Linked DNA regions of Drosophila melanogaster. The protein of the gene in region 1 interacts with the protein of each later gene in a pairwise test. Each region holds a gene or a part of one and is shown in the gene's direction. Other genes may lie near its edges.

Region 1 (8,508 bases):
TCGATTTGGTTACAAGTATTTAAATATTTAATTGAATTTTTAGTTCCGGTTGCGTCAGCACCGGAAGCATCCTAAGCTAGTAAACACTATTTTCTTCCGCTATTATTGGATTTTTGTCTATGTACATATAACATTTTAAGATCCACCCTCGCGCTGGTTAAGCAAACGAATTTCGCTTTTAAAAGTTCCGAAATTTTAAAGAAAGCAAGAGAGAATGCTATAGTCGAGTTCCCCGACTATCAGATACCCGTTACTCAGCTAGTGTGAATGCGAACGCGAATAAAATGAGAACAAATTTAGAAATTGTGGGCGTGACCGGTGTGGCGGCTTTTAGGACGTTGGGCGTGGCAAAAAGTTGTTTGTCAAATCGATAGAAATTTTAGCGACTAATAAAATTATGAAATGATATCAACACATTTTTGAAAAGTGTGGGCTTGGCAGGTTTGGGCGGTTTTAGAGCGTGCCAACATGGGTCAACAATCTTGCGCTGCGTCTATGCCTCCAGAATATGTATGCTGAATCTTAACCTTCTAGCTTTTATAGTTCCTGAGATCTCGACGTGCATACGGACAGACGGATATGGCCGGATATGGCCAGAAATATATAGACTTTATATGGTCGGAAACATTTCTGCTTGTTACAAACTTTTCAACGAATCTAGTATACCCTTTTACTCTACGAGTAACGGGTATAGAAATTTACAAAGATATCAACTCGTCTAGAAATTAGAAAAACACTTTGAAATAACACTTAATGTCTAGAATGAGTCGCCCTGAAACCGTTGATGGTCCACTCAAGCATCATACTCCTCTCCAGGTAGCCAAAGGTCACCAGCAGCGCTAGTGATTCCTCAGTGCCTCGTTGATGACACGCAGAATATCAATTTGCAGTTCGGTAAAAGCCACCGGCTCCAGCTGAGCATTGCGTATCTTCATGGACACAGCCTTGAAGAACGCACCTATCTCATCGTCCTCTCCGGAGTTGTGGCCATTGCTGGAGGGATACTCCATATGGGTGGGTTTGCTGGGCGTAATGGGCGCCGAGTGATAGCGAGACGTGGAAGTAGAGCTTGGCGTAGTGGCAGCATTCTGGTACCTAGGCGTGGTTGGAGTCTGTATCTCGATCTTCTGGAACTCCGCAGTTGATTGAAGCTGCTGATTTTCCAGGCTGGTGGCCCCGTCGCTGAGCTGCTCTTGCTTGGACATGGCACTGCCAACGCTTGGAACAGCCATGTAAACGGGTCCATCTTCGTGATCGTAAGTCATTACATGCTGATCCTGCTGCTGAGGAGGTTGTTCCGCCGCCGTTGTGGTTTCCATCTCCTCATCCTCATCGTCTTCCACATCATCATCATTATGGTGTACATCTCCGTTGATGTAATTCTCGATGTCCATGTCGTCATAGGTGGCCACACAGAGTTCACTTGCCTGCTGTTGCTGTTGTTGCTGCTGATGCTGTTGTTGCTGTTGGTGCTGCTCTTCCTGCTGTTGCTGTTGTTGTTGTTGCTCAGCCTTGTGTGGTCCCGTCAAATGAGGCAGGGTGGGCAAGTTAAGCTGGGAATTCGACGAAGACGACTCTAGGGTGATCTGCTGCGTGGGCGGTGAGTGAGACTGGGTCATATGGTCCTCGAGTTCCCTCACCGGGTCATTTTTGGGTAGCAGCATACTGAGTTGCGAATCGCTTTCCCTGAAGAGTAAAAAGTTATCAATATATGATTATGTTAAAATAAACAAAACCTCTCTTACAGCGTCTTTTGTTGTATGTACTTCTGAAGGAAACTGAGCGAATTATAGTGCTTCCAACGCGATGTGGCATCTATGTGCATCAGTGTCCTCAATCGCTTGTGTTCGCGTGCGTATTGGTCCCTTAAAGCCTTCCACTTCAGTCGACACTGTTTCACTAAAATAGTTAATGCTTGAAAAATCATCTTCATCCTTCGGCTGTTTAAGTTTATCAACCACATACCCGACTTCTTTAGTTTTCTGGCGATTTCCTCCCACACCTCCATCTTGAGCTTGGCATTGCGATAGTTCTCGTTGCCGTAGTTGTAGATCATGTCTTCCTGCTGGATCAGCGTGATCAGTTCCTTTTCGAAGTAGCTCTCCATGTTGAGAAATGTGTGTATGGGATCGTCGTCCTCCTCCTCGGCGTTCGTCGATTGATTGTGCGCTGCTGAAGTGGTGGATACATTAGACGTGATTGTTGCTGCCGAGCTCGACTGATTGGCGGCATTGACGCAGTCCACTATTTCGTTGTAGAGAGTGTCTACCACCGTGGTTGTGTTGGCGGTTCCACACTGCACTATGATTGATGGAGTAGCACCGCCTCCCGCATCCGTCAGATAGTTCCAGTTCGCTTCCGGCTGCGAGTGCATTTGTTGCTGATGCTGCTGTTGCTGCTGCTGCTGCTGCAGCACGGCTCCAATATGGCTTGCCAAGAAAGTGGCTGCCGGCTTCTTATCAGTTGAACTAGGCGAACTGAAGCTGCAGCTGTCGAGCAGCGTGGATGCACTGGCATCCTCAATTTTAATGCTGCCGGAAAGGTTTAGATTCTGGCTACTGCTGTTGCTGCTGAAGGAAGTAGTCATGGGCAGCGATAAGGGGGTCACCGTACCCACGGCGCCATTGGAAGTCTGACCAGATCTCCCTCTGTAACTAAAGAATTGTGGGTTTAATTAAATACGGACATATCATTTGGAAGCCTGAAGAACAGAACTAGTGATAGATAGCTCCATATGCTGTATAGTCTGCATTGGCAGTCAGCATGGCGGTGCCAACTTGAATTGCTCCACGTGCTACTTACTTTCTTGCCAGCGCATATGGACGCAGGAAATCCAGCTCTTTGAAATACTTCCACTTCACTGCTTTTGAGCAGGCCTTGGCGCGCTTCAGCTCCCGGCAGTACTGATCCCTCATGGCCTTCCACTTGGACTTGCACTGGACGTCTGTGGAAATGGGATTAAGTGCCAACTTTTTGGTGGGGAAACTTAAACGTTCACTTACCGGACCAACCCACATTGCTGCCAATCTCCAGCCATTTCTCGTCCTTGATCTTGGTGCTGCGGTAGTGGGGATGCTTGGGATTGTATAGCGACTGCTCCTGGGAGACCAGCGAAATGAGGATCAGCTCCTTGGGAATGCTGACCACATTCTCACCCAGACTAGGATCTATGCTGAGATTCACGTGCTGCTGCTGCGGCTGCTGGTGCTCCTGCAGCTGGTTGGCACATGGCAGCGTCTCCATGGCGCTCCCTACTTGGTGTCCATGCTGGCGGTGTGTTAATATGGGCAATTGTTATAAATAAAAACAGGGAAAACAAAAATGAGGTGACCGAACAGCTGATCCTGGAGAGTTGTGTAATTAGAGGGACCAGTTTCGCCTTGGCTATACAAGCATCTTTTTTACATTGAGTGGAACATCTGGTGGCCACCGACCTGGTCACCCTGAACAGTCCAGTGCTGCAAGAGGCGCACACCATTTCGATAAGTTGGCAGCCCGCTCATATGTTCGATTTTAAAATTTTGGCGCCAAAAAATCGTCTTTCTATACATTTGTATTTAACGGCTAATCCAATTAGCTAATTGCATTACCGCTAAGGAAAAAAGAAAACATCATAACATTCAGGCAAAACAAATTGTTTAACTCTCAGTTTATTGTGCGACGCAGTGCGGTTCAAAACTAGAAACTTTCTTCTGGCAAATATTGCAGCCGTCCTTATATAATTAATGCTCCATAATGCCGAAAATTGACCCAGAAACACAAAAACTCTACGACGAAATCAATGGCATGATACAGAAGTTTAAGGTGAATTAAATAAACTCAACGTACAGCGAAGTAAATTAAAAATATCAGATAATAAATATAGCAACAACAAAAGTAACATAAAAAAGTTTTCCCCATATAAAATAACAATACTCTAAAAATACCGATAGCCAGCTTAAAAAGAAATTCGTTGTCCTTAATTTAATTTTAACAAAAAAATATTAATATAACTTTTTGGAATATGTATGATAATATGATTGGGTTTTAAATATCTTGCCAGATTTCATACTTCAGTGCTAACTACTCCCATAATATTTCATCTCGATAATAGTCGAACACATTATTTCCAATTTTGAAAAAATTAAGTGACTTAACTTAATCGAAAACTGTATGCGTCTCTAACATTTATTCTGGAAATTCTTGTAATAAAAATTGTCATTCATTACTATGATTTTGCTTTCAGGATGACCAAAAAAGCAAGGCTGATTGCACGTTGGCCGATAAATGCGGCGACATGGGGGATGTGCCCAAGATTCGATTCTCATCCAAGAAGATTCTCAAGGGCCACATCAACAAGGTGAATTCGGTGCATTTTGCCGGGGACTCGCGGCACTGCGTCACTGGATCGCTGGACGGCAAGCTGATCATCTGGGACACCTGGACCGCCAACAAGGTGCAGATCATCCCCTTGAGATCCGCCTGGGTAATGACGGTGGCCTTTTCGCCGTCGGGTAACTTTGTGGCCTGCGGAGGAATGGACAACCAGTGCACCGTCTACGATGTGAACAATCGCGATGCCTCCGGAGTGGCCAAGATGGTCAAAGAGCTGATGGGCTACGAGGGATTCCTCAGCTCCTGTCGCTTCCTCGACGATGGCCATCTGATCACCGGCTCGGGAGATATGAAAATGTAGGGCTTTGCTTAACTTTTTGGAGTAAAATCTAAGTTTCCTATGACCAACAGATGCCATTGGGATCTGGAGAAGGGTGTCAAGACAATGGATTTCAATGGACACGCTGGTGATATCGCTGGCTTATCGCTTTCGCCAGATATGAAGACCTATATCACTGGCTCTGTGGACAAAACTGCCAAGTTGTGGGATGTGCGAGAGGAGGGCCACAAGCAGATGTTCTTCGGTCACGACATGGACGTGTCATCCGTCTGCGTGAGTACACATATATGTTTTAATAATAATAGCTTATATTAATTACCAAGAACAACTATAAGCAGCTAATCTATTTAGTACTTGTAATTTAATACAAATGTATTCATTACACCCACCCAATTATCATTATCGGTTGCAGTACCATCCCAGTGGCTTCGGGTTCGCCTCCTGCTCGGAGGACCAAACGGCGCGCATGTACGACCTGCGGGCGGACCAGCAAATCGCCCAGTATGAACCGCCCCAGAAGAACACTGGCTTCACGTCGTGCGGTGGGTTCTCGTTCTCCGTCTTGGTGGAACACGGTCGCCTTGACTTTTGACGGGTTTTTAATCTGATTTTGTGTCCCCACCAGCTCTATCGACCAGCGGGCGCTACCTCATGTGCGGCGGCATTGAGGGCAACGTGCACTCGTGGGACACGATGAAGCAGCGGCACACGGGTGGGTATTGGGAATTGGGTAGTTCGTATTGGGTATTGGATATCCATTGCACTTGGGGGATTCGGTGATAAAGAACGGGGAAATGGAGGCGAAGCTAATGCTCAGGCTGGCACTTGACTTACATCGATTTGCTGACCTTCTTCTCCACTTTCTACTTTCTACTTACCATTTGTCACTTTCCATTCCTCCACAGGCACACTGTCTGGTCACGAGAACCGCATCACTTGCATCAGCCTGTGCCCCAATGGCATGTGCCTGGCGTCCACCAGTTGGGATCAGCAAGTGCGTCTGTGGCTCTAATCTGTGCCTCTGATCTGGGTTCAGTGTCGTCCAAAGGCGAAGACAACGTTTATGCGTGCAGTTTGCTTGCAAATTACGTATACGTAATATCCATAGCCTGCAAGTAATAAGGATAGTTCTCAGTGCAGACTAACAATATTAATACAATATTAAATCTATTGTTAAACTTGCGAACATAAGAATAGCTTGCCCCCTTTAAGTGCTAATTTGCAAGCAAAACGTGCGTATGAATATTATTATAATAATTGAATACTTGATTACCTAGAGAAAGTAGCCTCCAATAACAAGCAAGTGCCAATTGGATGTGCGAAATAAAATGTATGAATAGTACAACAAAGTAACACGTCTCCTCCATTAAAACTCCATTGCAACTTAATTTTTTTTATATATTTTTTATATTTTTCTTATAAAAAATACTTATACAATTACGAAGATATTTTTGCTGCTGCGATTTTTGGCGCTTGGTTTTGTTTGTTTGTGGAAATTGTCTTTGAGCTGGTCAAAGAGGCAGCTAGGTAAATTAAAACAAATCACTTTTGAAATCAACAGAGAGATAAAGATACAGGTTCAGATACAGAATAGTCGAAAGTATACAGATAGATAGAAGATAGATAGAAAGAGAGAGAGAGAGAGAGAGAGAGATAGAAATGAAAGTCGCATAAATAACAGATGGATAGAGATAGCTTAGGATCACACAGGAAGCAGGATGCAACGATTTGAGTATTCTGTAGATGGATCAGCATAGATCAGCTGGTACAGTTTGTTTAGTTTATCAGACTCTCGGTGGAACTACTGTGAGTTGTTCTCCTGTTTGGGTAGATGGAAGGATAGCGACGACGGGACGGCCTTAAACGGAGAAGCCATCGCCGGTGGGATCCAGGATCCAGGGGTAGTTGTTGGGGCACTCCATGCACGTGAAGAGACGCAGCGTCTCGCCGGGCAGCTCCCTGGTGGTCAGGGGACACGCGTTGGGCAGAGAGCAGTAGGGCTGGCCCTTGACGTCGCACTTCTCCTTCCACTCCTGGAAGTCGCGCAGCGAGTTCAGCTCGGTGGGGTTCTGCATCCACTGGATCACCTGCAGGTTGGTCACGAAGAACACGTCGTTGCGGCCGAGCATCTCCTCGATGAATTTGATCAGCTCGTCGCGGTACTCCTTCTTCGACTTCAGCCACGAAGCGTGGAAGTGGAGTCCAAGTGGAGCACGGTTGCTATTGTAGTGGCGGTTGAAGTTGTGGCGCAGCAGGCGTGCGAACTGGTCGCCGCTGGCTACGTTTGAGCAGGAGTCCACCATATGGCAACCGGGCAGGGACTCGTCGAAGGTGGGATCGTCGCGCCGGTCCAGCTCGTTCATGACCATCTCCCACACGGGGTGGCTCCTCGATGGGCAGTTGTGCGCGTTGCCGTTGCACTTGTGCGGCATGCGGAAGTACAGGGTGTATGGCCAAATGGGCACGCGGCCAAGGGAGGCGGTGATGGAGGCGTCGTACACGAAGAACTGATCGGCCATCATCTCGAACTGCTTGTTGCCGCCCACGCGGAGGTAGGGCGCCCGCATGCCGATGATGGAGCCGTCGGTGATGTTGGCGAAGCGCTCCACGATCAGTCGGGAGCCGGCCATCTCGGCCAGCCAGTCGTCGTAGCTGCCGCCGGTCCAGTAGTTGGGGTCATCCTTGTGCGTTAGCGAGAACACGGAGATCTCGTGTCCGCGACGATGAAGGTCCTGCACCGCCGAGTAGTTGGTGTACTTGTGGGACACGAAGAAGGTGCCCTTGATGGAGCAGCCGTTGGGATTCTGGCGCTGTCCGTTGAAGATGTCCTCGTACAGGTCGATGTTGTCCACGTTGACGGCGCCGTTGAAGGTGATCGTGATCATCTGGGGCACCTGTTGGGGCTCAATGCCGCCGGGAATGCGGGTTCCGTCCGCCGAGCAGAAGCAGTCGGGCAGGGCGCACTGCGTCGGATCGCATTCGGGGGCGCGGTTGGGATCCTCATCGACAGCTGGAAATGGTAGATGGTTGGGGATCATTCTTCTGGATCATTTATTGAACTTTGCGCTGTAATGTATGCTGCATTTCCTCAACAATTTATCATCTCAAGCACCATTTGGAATTCAGTTCGAATCTGTAGGAATAATCGTGTGTTGGACTTACAGCAGGCGTTCTCATCGGATTCGTCCTTGCAGTCGGACTTGCCGTTGCAGAAGAGCTCCTTGTCCAGGCACTCGCCGTCGCCGCAGGACAGCTTACCCTCGGGACAGATGGGCTCATCCGTCTTCAGGATGGGCTTGGCCTTGCGCGGCTCTGTGGAATGTACACTCAGTTAGTGGGAAGCTACGTTTTGGAGCTACTGGTGGATGGAGGCGTGTTAGTGACAACAAATGTCTAAATTTTGAAATGAGAAGTATTTACATGAGTGTGATGGGGTTTAGTAGTTTAGGTGGTTGTTAGTTTCGAGCTGGGTTAGGGTTTGTTTCGTTCGTGGATCTACCAAAGTTCCGGAAGTCTAACATTGCTGACTACTGTATGTACAGGTGTATATTGGCTTGATTGGTTGGTTTGTTTGTTTGGCTTGACTGTTTGGTCTGGCTGGTTGGTCGTCACACTTACTCTCTTTCTCGTCGCAATTGGTCACCTTGGCCTTCCAGTCGCAGGTCTGCTTGATCACGTCGAAGGCCAGACCCGAAGGACACTGAATTTCTTTCAAACCCGACTTGGTACATCTACAAAATAAAGTTCATGTTCTGATTTCGTATTGGCGTTGCTAGCTATAGAACTTTGGCACCGATTCGGGGGTGGATTCAGGGTGTTTATGCAATGACTCGATCGATTCGGGGACTCGGGGA
Region 2 (3,864 bases), on another chromosome or scaffold:
GGTACCTCGCCTTTTCTATGGTACTTTTACTCCGCCCTGCCACGTGCCATGGGTGCATCGCTGGTGCTCGTGCCCATCGGCGTCGCATTGGAGCCACGTATTCGGCCATTGGTCCTGTCGGCTCTCCTCTTTGTCCTTTTGTACTCCATTCTGCCGCACAAGGAGCTGCGCTTCATCATCTACGTGTTTCCAGTTCTCAACATTGCTGCGGCTTGCGCATGCCAACGAATGTAAGCGTCGTATTATTTCATTAGTAAAATGCATTTCTATTATTGGTTTCCTCGTTTAGTTGGATGAACAGCGCCAAGTCAACGTGGCATAGCTTTCTGGCGCTCGCCTGTGGAGCCCATCTCCTGCTAAATGTCTTTATAACGCTCTTCCTGCTTGTCATTTCGGGCACCAACTATCCGGGCGGAGCAGCCCTCTCCCGATTGCATCGCTTGGAAGCTGGCACCTCAAACGTTTCCGTTCACATTTCCAACTTGGCCGCCCAGAGCGGCGTGTCGCGTTTTATGGAAATAAATAATGAATGGACTTACAGCAAGGACGAGACAATGAACTATACCCAGGCGGATTTGGTTGCATACACACATCTTTTGGTCGAGGCGAAGAACAAGCAAAACACTGAACTATGGGCATCGCTCCAAAACGAATTCGATACGCTAGAGTTTATTGACTGCTTCAACAGCATCGGCATTCAATACAATTCTCTGCTGCCGGTGCGAATAAAGACGAAGCCTTGCATTGGTATACTTAAAAAGAGACCAGTGGCTCCAAAAGAGGCATCAAAAACAAAAGAGAAAATAGCAAAAACTAAGACATACCCGGTGGAAAAAGAAACGTTATTAGCTCCTGTTAAAGAATTTCCAAAAGTGATAGGAGATCCGAAAATGAAATCCAGGTTACAAGTCGATGCGGATGATGATGATGGCATCGTGTCCACTGTGGAGGAAATGTCGCTAGAACTGGAAACGGATACTGAGCCCCATGCTGGGGCAGAGACCATCGAAACGCCCTTGAAGGAGATCAATTTCCAGGAGCTGAGAACCCTCGCCTTGGGACAGGCAACCAAGAAGTCGAGAGCAGCCACCAAGATGAAGATTCGACAAATTATCGAGCAGCACTACCGCGCCAAGGGCAAACAAATCGAAAACGACTCCGCAGAGACCCAAAAAACGCAAGGAAAGGCTGGATTACGGCAATCCGTAAAGTCCATCATAAAGCAGGAGAAGATCAAGGAAATGATCGAGCAGATCGCTACGATGGATCTGACACGCATCTGCGATTTGGAAAGGACTTCGACCAAAGATTGCTTAAAACAGGTCATAGACAAAATAGATGACAGCGAGGGTTTGAAATCCAAATGACAAAACCTATCACACTTTAAACTGTTTTATTAAATTAAGCTAAGCGTTTGTTAATGGCACAGTTGTAAAAATTTAAAATAAAAGCAATAATAAAAGCGAATCAAAATTTCAGGAATTTCCTATATCTTGATAGAAAATTAAGTCGCGGCCAAATCGCACCCGAATCGCGTCCGAATCGCGCTAAAGTCGCCTCAAAATCCCCCCTAAATCGCATCTAATCGCGCCTAATTAAGCTCAAACGCTCTAACTAAACATAAATTGCCAAATAGAGTATGACACATTACGGCACGTCGGATATATTTTTTGCTGACCAAAAATAAATATAAATTAAATTATAGAGTATTAAAGTATCGTCATATATGTAGAACTAGTCATTAGGGATATCGCAATATCCCCATCTCTAGCTTAAACGCGATATATGTATTTAAAGTAACAGTGGTGGAAACACACCAAATTATTTCGGCAATAAAATCGAAATTACAAACTTCCAGAAAGCTGTTATCTATATAAAAAGGTGTGATAAGCCTTATGTCGCAGGTGTATCAACGCTAATCCACTTAATGGCGCTTTCACCACAGACCAACCCCTCTCACACGTATCCATTCACCAGCAATCATATGTTTTCTTATCACCTTCAGGTTGACCTCAAACGCAGTACGGCGAATTTTGGAAGGCAATCGGTGCGGTGAAATGGAGCTGACTGGATGGGTGAAGAACTACGGCTGGGGCCGCAAGGGCATCAACTCGGCGGTGGCCCAGCTGGCAATGGCCAATGATCCGGACTTTCGTCTGAACGAGGAGGAGACCTATGCGGAAATGTGGATGGGCACGCATGTGTGCGGTGTGTCCGTGGTCAAGGAAACCGGAGAGACTCTGGACCGAGTGCTAAAGAAGGACCTTTCATACCTGTTCAAGGTGCTAAGCATCAACAAGGCACTCAGCATCCAGGTGCATCCGAACAAGTGCGAAGCGGAGCGCCTGCACAAGGAGCGCCCGGATATCTACAAGGATCCCAATCACAAGCCGGAACTGGCCATTGCCCTCACGCCCTTTCTGGCCCTCGTGGGATTTATGTCAGCCGAAGATATCAGGGACTACATCGATGAGTTCCAGCCGCTGAGTAAACTCATTGGCAAGGAGGCTGTGGATCAGCTCCATGACTCGACCAACTCGGAAAGCGTTAAGTTGTGCTACGAGAAGCTGATGAAGACCGAAGAGCCGGTGATAGCCAAGTGCATCAGTGAAATAGCCAAGGATTACCAAAACGGTGAGCCATTCTGTGCAATCTATGAAAGATTTGTAAACATTCCTCTAAAATAGAACTGAAATCCAACGATCTGCTTGAGGTGTTCACCAAGGTCAACAAAGACTTCCCCGGCGATGTGGGCGTACTGTCCCTGTTCTTCCTCAACCTAATCCGCCTGCAGCCCGGCCAGGCGATCTACTTGGGCGCGAACGAGATTCATGCCTACCTGGACGGCGACTGTGTGGAGTGCATGGCTTGCTCGGACAATGTGATACGGGCGGGCCTAACGCCCAAGTACAAGGATGTGGACCAGCTGCTGGAATCTGTGATCTTCGAAAGTTCGTATAAGGATCGCAAGGAGTTCATTCCGTACCGCATAGATGACCAGGTCCAGGTCTATATTCCGCCAGTATCCGACTTTGCAGTGATAAATGTGAATATCGAACACTCGCTGGAGTCGTACAAGCTGGAGATACAAGCATTCGGCTCCATATTGATAGTTCTAAAGGGATCCCGCATTCTTAAATTGAAAACCCAGCAGGGAGATAAGGAGATCTTGGTAACCCGCGGCAGCATTGTGTACATTCCCGTCGAGGCGGCGCCGGAAATCGAATTCGCCCAGTCCGACGATTGCGACGAGGACTTCAGCGGCTACATAGCAACCAGCAACTACTTTCGAGTGCCCTAAAATTCTCAGTTAATCGAAATATTTTGTACAGTGCAATAAATCCATTAACACGTTTTGGTGGTGAATTATTTTGTTTATATTTACTTGCAATTAAGAGCTAAGAATGTAAGCTAAAGTGGCAATAGTAGCGATAAATAAGTTATCTAATCAATTGGCTATACTCGTTCCATAGTACATTTAATAATTAACGAGAAATATCTTGCGCACAAACAGGTAGTTTCTTAAATATTTGCGATAATTGCAACCAACAATTTCAAGTACTTAAGCTAGAGCTACGTAACTCGATCGGGGTTACATTCACTGGGGATAAATTATTCATATGTACGAAGCAAGAGGTTCGAGTGCAAATCTAGTGTAATTCAATAGAATTGGTGCTTGGACTGCTGTGCTGGGCTTGCGAAATGCCCAAATACATGGCCTACTTAAAAAGGGTTAACAATGGAGAACATAAAATTGGCTACGTTATACATAATTTCCGCCCGTCTTTGTTTGGTTTTTCGGTGCCCGTGCGGGATGCGGTGGTTCTACGAATTGTAAATACATTAATTCACATTTATCCATCT
Region 3 (3,348 bases), on another chromosome or scaffold:
GTCATGGAAGTTGGCCAACTAATAATTATACCACTATTTTTACTGCTGCTTGACCATTCGATGGGCCAACTCAGGAGGACTCCCATCACTCGTCAGATCAACCAGAACAAGACCCATGCCAATGTGAAGGCGGAGAAGATCTTGCTGGCGGCCAAGTACTTTCTGGTGGACAGACAATCATCACAAACGACACAGGTGCTAGCCAACGGATTCAATCTGGAGTACACCATTCGCCTCTGCATCGGAACACCACCGCAGTGTTTTAATCTTCAGTTCGACACTGGATCATCCGACTTATGGGTGCCGAGTGTAAAGTGTTCAAGCACCAACGAAGCCTGCCAAAAGCACAATAAATACAACTCGAGTGCGTCCAGTTCCCACGTGGAGGATGGAAAAGGATTTAGCATACAGTACGGCTCAGGCAGCTTGTCTGGATTTTTGTCCACGGATACGGTGGACATCGATGGTATGGTAATCAGGAATCAGACATTCGCCGAGGCCATCGATGAACCAGGTTCAGCCTTTGTGAACACCATTTTTGATGGCATAATTGGAATGGCATTTGCGTCCATTTCCGGCGGAGTCACCACTCCCTTTGACAACATCATCCGGCAGGGATTGGTCAAACATCCGGTGTTCTCCGTCTACCTCAGGCGCGATGGTACCTCACAGTCTGGCGGAGAAGTCATCTGGGGTGGAATCGATCGGAGCATCTACAGGGGTTGCATCAACTACGTTCCAGTATCGATGCCTGCCTATTGGCAATTTACGGCTAATTCGGTGAAAATCGAGGGCATCCTTCTCTGCAACGGATGCCAGGCCATCGCCGATACTGGCACCTCGCTCATCGCCGTTCCCCTGCGAGCCTATAAAGCGATCAATAAAGTGTTGAATGCCACTGATGCCGGAGATGGAGAAGCATTTGTGGACTGCAGCAGTCTCTGTAGATTGCCGAATGTTAATCTAAATATCGGTGGCACTACCTACACACTAACGCCAAAGGATTACATCTACAAGGTCCAGGCGGATAACAATCAAACCCTGTGCCTATCCGGCTTCACATACTTGCAGGGTAATTTACTATGGATACTGGGAGACATTTTCCTTGGAAAGGTCTATACGGTTTTCGATGTGGGCAAGGAGAGAATTGGATTCGCAAAACTAAAGAAGCATTCAAGTTATAGGGTTTATGCCTCCAGTTATGTGAAAGAACCATCTAGCTACGGCATCGATTACCCATTCTACGGCGATGAATACTCCAGATTCTTTACTTGAGTCAATTATATTTCAACTCCAAACTAATCCACGTGCCTATTTGTTTCATCATAAACCTTATGGCTAAACACTTGTATTAAAGAAGATTTGTAAAACGAACAACAAATATTTGCCGAGTTCTTTAATCTCTACGACTGGAGTTGGCTTTGTTTCCAAGTCAGCTTAAGTATGCCAACAGAACTCGTGGACGTCATTAACTTCCAGAAATGGAAAATTTCGTGGCTATTTATGGATATTTGCAGTTAGACAATACAAAAAAAATGGGAGAGCAGACAGAAAAGTTATTTAAATTTCGAACCCATTTCAAATCTATTCACAGTCGAATTTCAGCCGCAGACATGAGACAGTTGTTAGTTTTATTGGTGCTTGTCGGGATTGGCCATTCCGCTGCCAAGTTGAATCGCGTCCAGCTCCAAGTGAACAAGAATTTCACCAAGACCCATGGCAGTGTTAAGGCCGAGAAGACCGTGCTGGCATCGAAGTACTCCTTTTTGGCGGAGACCTCTTTCAGTGTCAGTTCGTCGGGTGCCACCGAAAACCTGCACAATTCCATGAACAATGAGTACTACGGCGTGATTGCTATCGGAACGCCTGAGCAGAGATTCAACATTCTGTTCGACACGGGATCGGCCAATCTGTGGGTTCCAAGTGCAAGTTGCCCGGCTTCGAATACCGCGTGCCAGAGGCACAACAAATACGATTCTTCGGCATCCAGCACTTATGTGGCCAATGGTGAGGAGTTCGCCATCGAATACGGAACTGGTAGTCTGTCGGGTTTCCTGTCCAACGACATTGTGACCATAGCGGGAATCAGCATTCAGAATCAGACATTCGGCGAAGCACTCAGCGAGCCGGGTACAACCTTCGTGGATGCTCCTTTTGCTGGAATCCTGGGACTGGCCTTCAGCGCGATTGCCGTCGATGGAGTGACTCCGCCGTTCGACAACATGATCTCCCAGGGACTGCTCGATGAACCAGTTATCTCCTTCTATCTCAAGCGACAGGGAACCGCTGTGCGCGGTGGAGAACTGATCCTGGGCGGTATTGACTCGAGTCTCTATAGGGGAAGCCTCACCTATGTGCCCGTTTCCGTTCCTGCCTACTGGCAGTTCAAGGTGAACACCATCAAGACCAATGGCACTTTGCTGTGCAACGGATGCCAAGCCATCGCCGATACGGGCACCTCCTTAATCGCAGTTCCACTGGCCGCTTACAGGAAGATCAATCGCCAGCTGGGCGCCACCGATAATGACGGTGAGGCATTCGTGAGGTGCGGCCGAGTCTCATCCCTGCCCAAGGTCAACCTGAATATCGGTGGTACTGTCTTCACCCTGGCACCAAGGGATTATATAGTCAAGGTAACGCAGAATGGCCAAACCTACTGCATGTCCGCCTTCACCTACATGGAGGGACTAAGCTTCTGGATTCTGGGTGATGTCTTTATTGGCAAGTTCTACACGGTTTTCGACAAGGGCAACGAAAGGATTGGTTTCGCCAGGGTGGCGGATTATTAACATAACGTTGTTATCGAAAAGGAAATAACTAAGAGAAATACATGCAATACATAAAATCTAACTTGGAGTATTCCTGTGGGTAATAACTATCAGGTTTACTTGCTTACAATGTATGTAAGTAAGATTTAAGTAAATCACAAATCAGAGCGATAGTAAGCTGTGGTAATAGCACCCATCTGCATGCATCTTTATACTCACTTTGGATGGGTCAGCGGAACTTCCAGTATCAATTCGGGCGGGTAATCAAAGTAGTCCGGATCGTGACCATTGGCCGAGACCACCAATGGCAGTATGTCCCACTCGCTGCCCTTGCTCTTCCAGCCCAGCTTGGTGCAGACCTGATGGATGGAAGAGCGATGGGATTGGACATCAAACAAATGTGATTCGGAATCGAAAATCAGCATAAGGCCAGCGGGCAGGCGGTGGCGTATATAAAAGTGACATGTGTAAAAATAAATGGGGATACTTTGGGGCTCGGTTTTATATGCAAATACATTAATGTTGGCATGGGTATGTGGACTATGGATTGACTGAAACCATGGATCGCAGTGTGCCCAAC

The links. The genes of interacting proteins can lie anywhere in the genome.
Region 2: the proteins of Gbeta76C (region 1) and Mpi interact in a two-hybrid assay, tested with the Drosophila melanogaster proteins (one large-scale study listed by BioGRID).
Region 3: the proteins of Gbeta76C (region 1) and CG17134 interact in a two-hybrid assay, tested with the Drosophila melanogaster proteins (one large-scale study listed by BioGRID).

Annotation. Positions count from the first base shown.
Region 1 is NT_037436.4:19,683,993-19,692,500, forward strand, and holds Gbeta76C (G protein beta subunit 76C), read left to right. Parts: upstream 1-3,644; 5' UTR 3,645-3,735; coding exon 3,736-3,804; intron 3,805-4,225; coding exon 4,226-4,671; intron 4,672-4,725; coding exon 4,726-4,927; intron 4,928-5,066; coding exon 5,067-5,196; intron 5,197-5,279; coding exon 5,280-5,366; intron 5,367-5,559; coding exon 5,560-5,666; 3' UTR 5,667-6,000; downstream 6,001-8,508. Other genes in the region: CG8765 (uncharacterized protein), read right to left, coding at 840-1,686, 1,746-1,899, 1,966-2,654, 2,803-2,944, 3,003-3,243; verm (vermiform), read right to left, coding at 6,514-7,664, 7,817-7,966. UniProt on the Drosophila melanogaster protein: Guanine nucleotide-binding proteins (G proteins) are involved as a modulator or transducer in various transmembrane signaling systems.
Region 2 is NT_033777.3:9,757,845-9,761,708, forward strand, and holds Mpi (mannose phosphate isomerase), read left to right. Parts: upstream 1-1,777; 5' UTR 1,778-1,881; intron 1,882-2,005; 5' UTR 2,006-2,057; coding exon 2,058-2,634; intron 2,635-2,687; coding exon 2,688-3,301; 3' UTR 3,302-3,364; downstream 3,365-3,864. Other genes in the region: Alg12 alpha-1,6-mannosyltransferase, read left to right, coding at 1-230, 290-1,367.
Region 3 is NT_033779.5:10,819,120-10,822,467, forward strand, and holds CG17134 (uncharacterized protein), read left to right. Parts: upstream 1-1,585; 5' UTR 1,586-1,613; coding exon 1,614-2,789; 3' UTR 2,790-2,848; downstream 2,849-3,348. Other genes in the region: Nos (nitric oxide synthase), read right to left, coding at 2,988-3,127; CG6508 (uncharacterized protein), read left to right, coding at 4-1,275.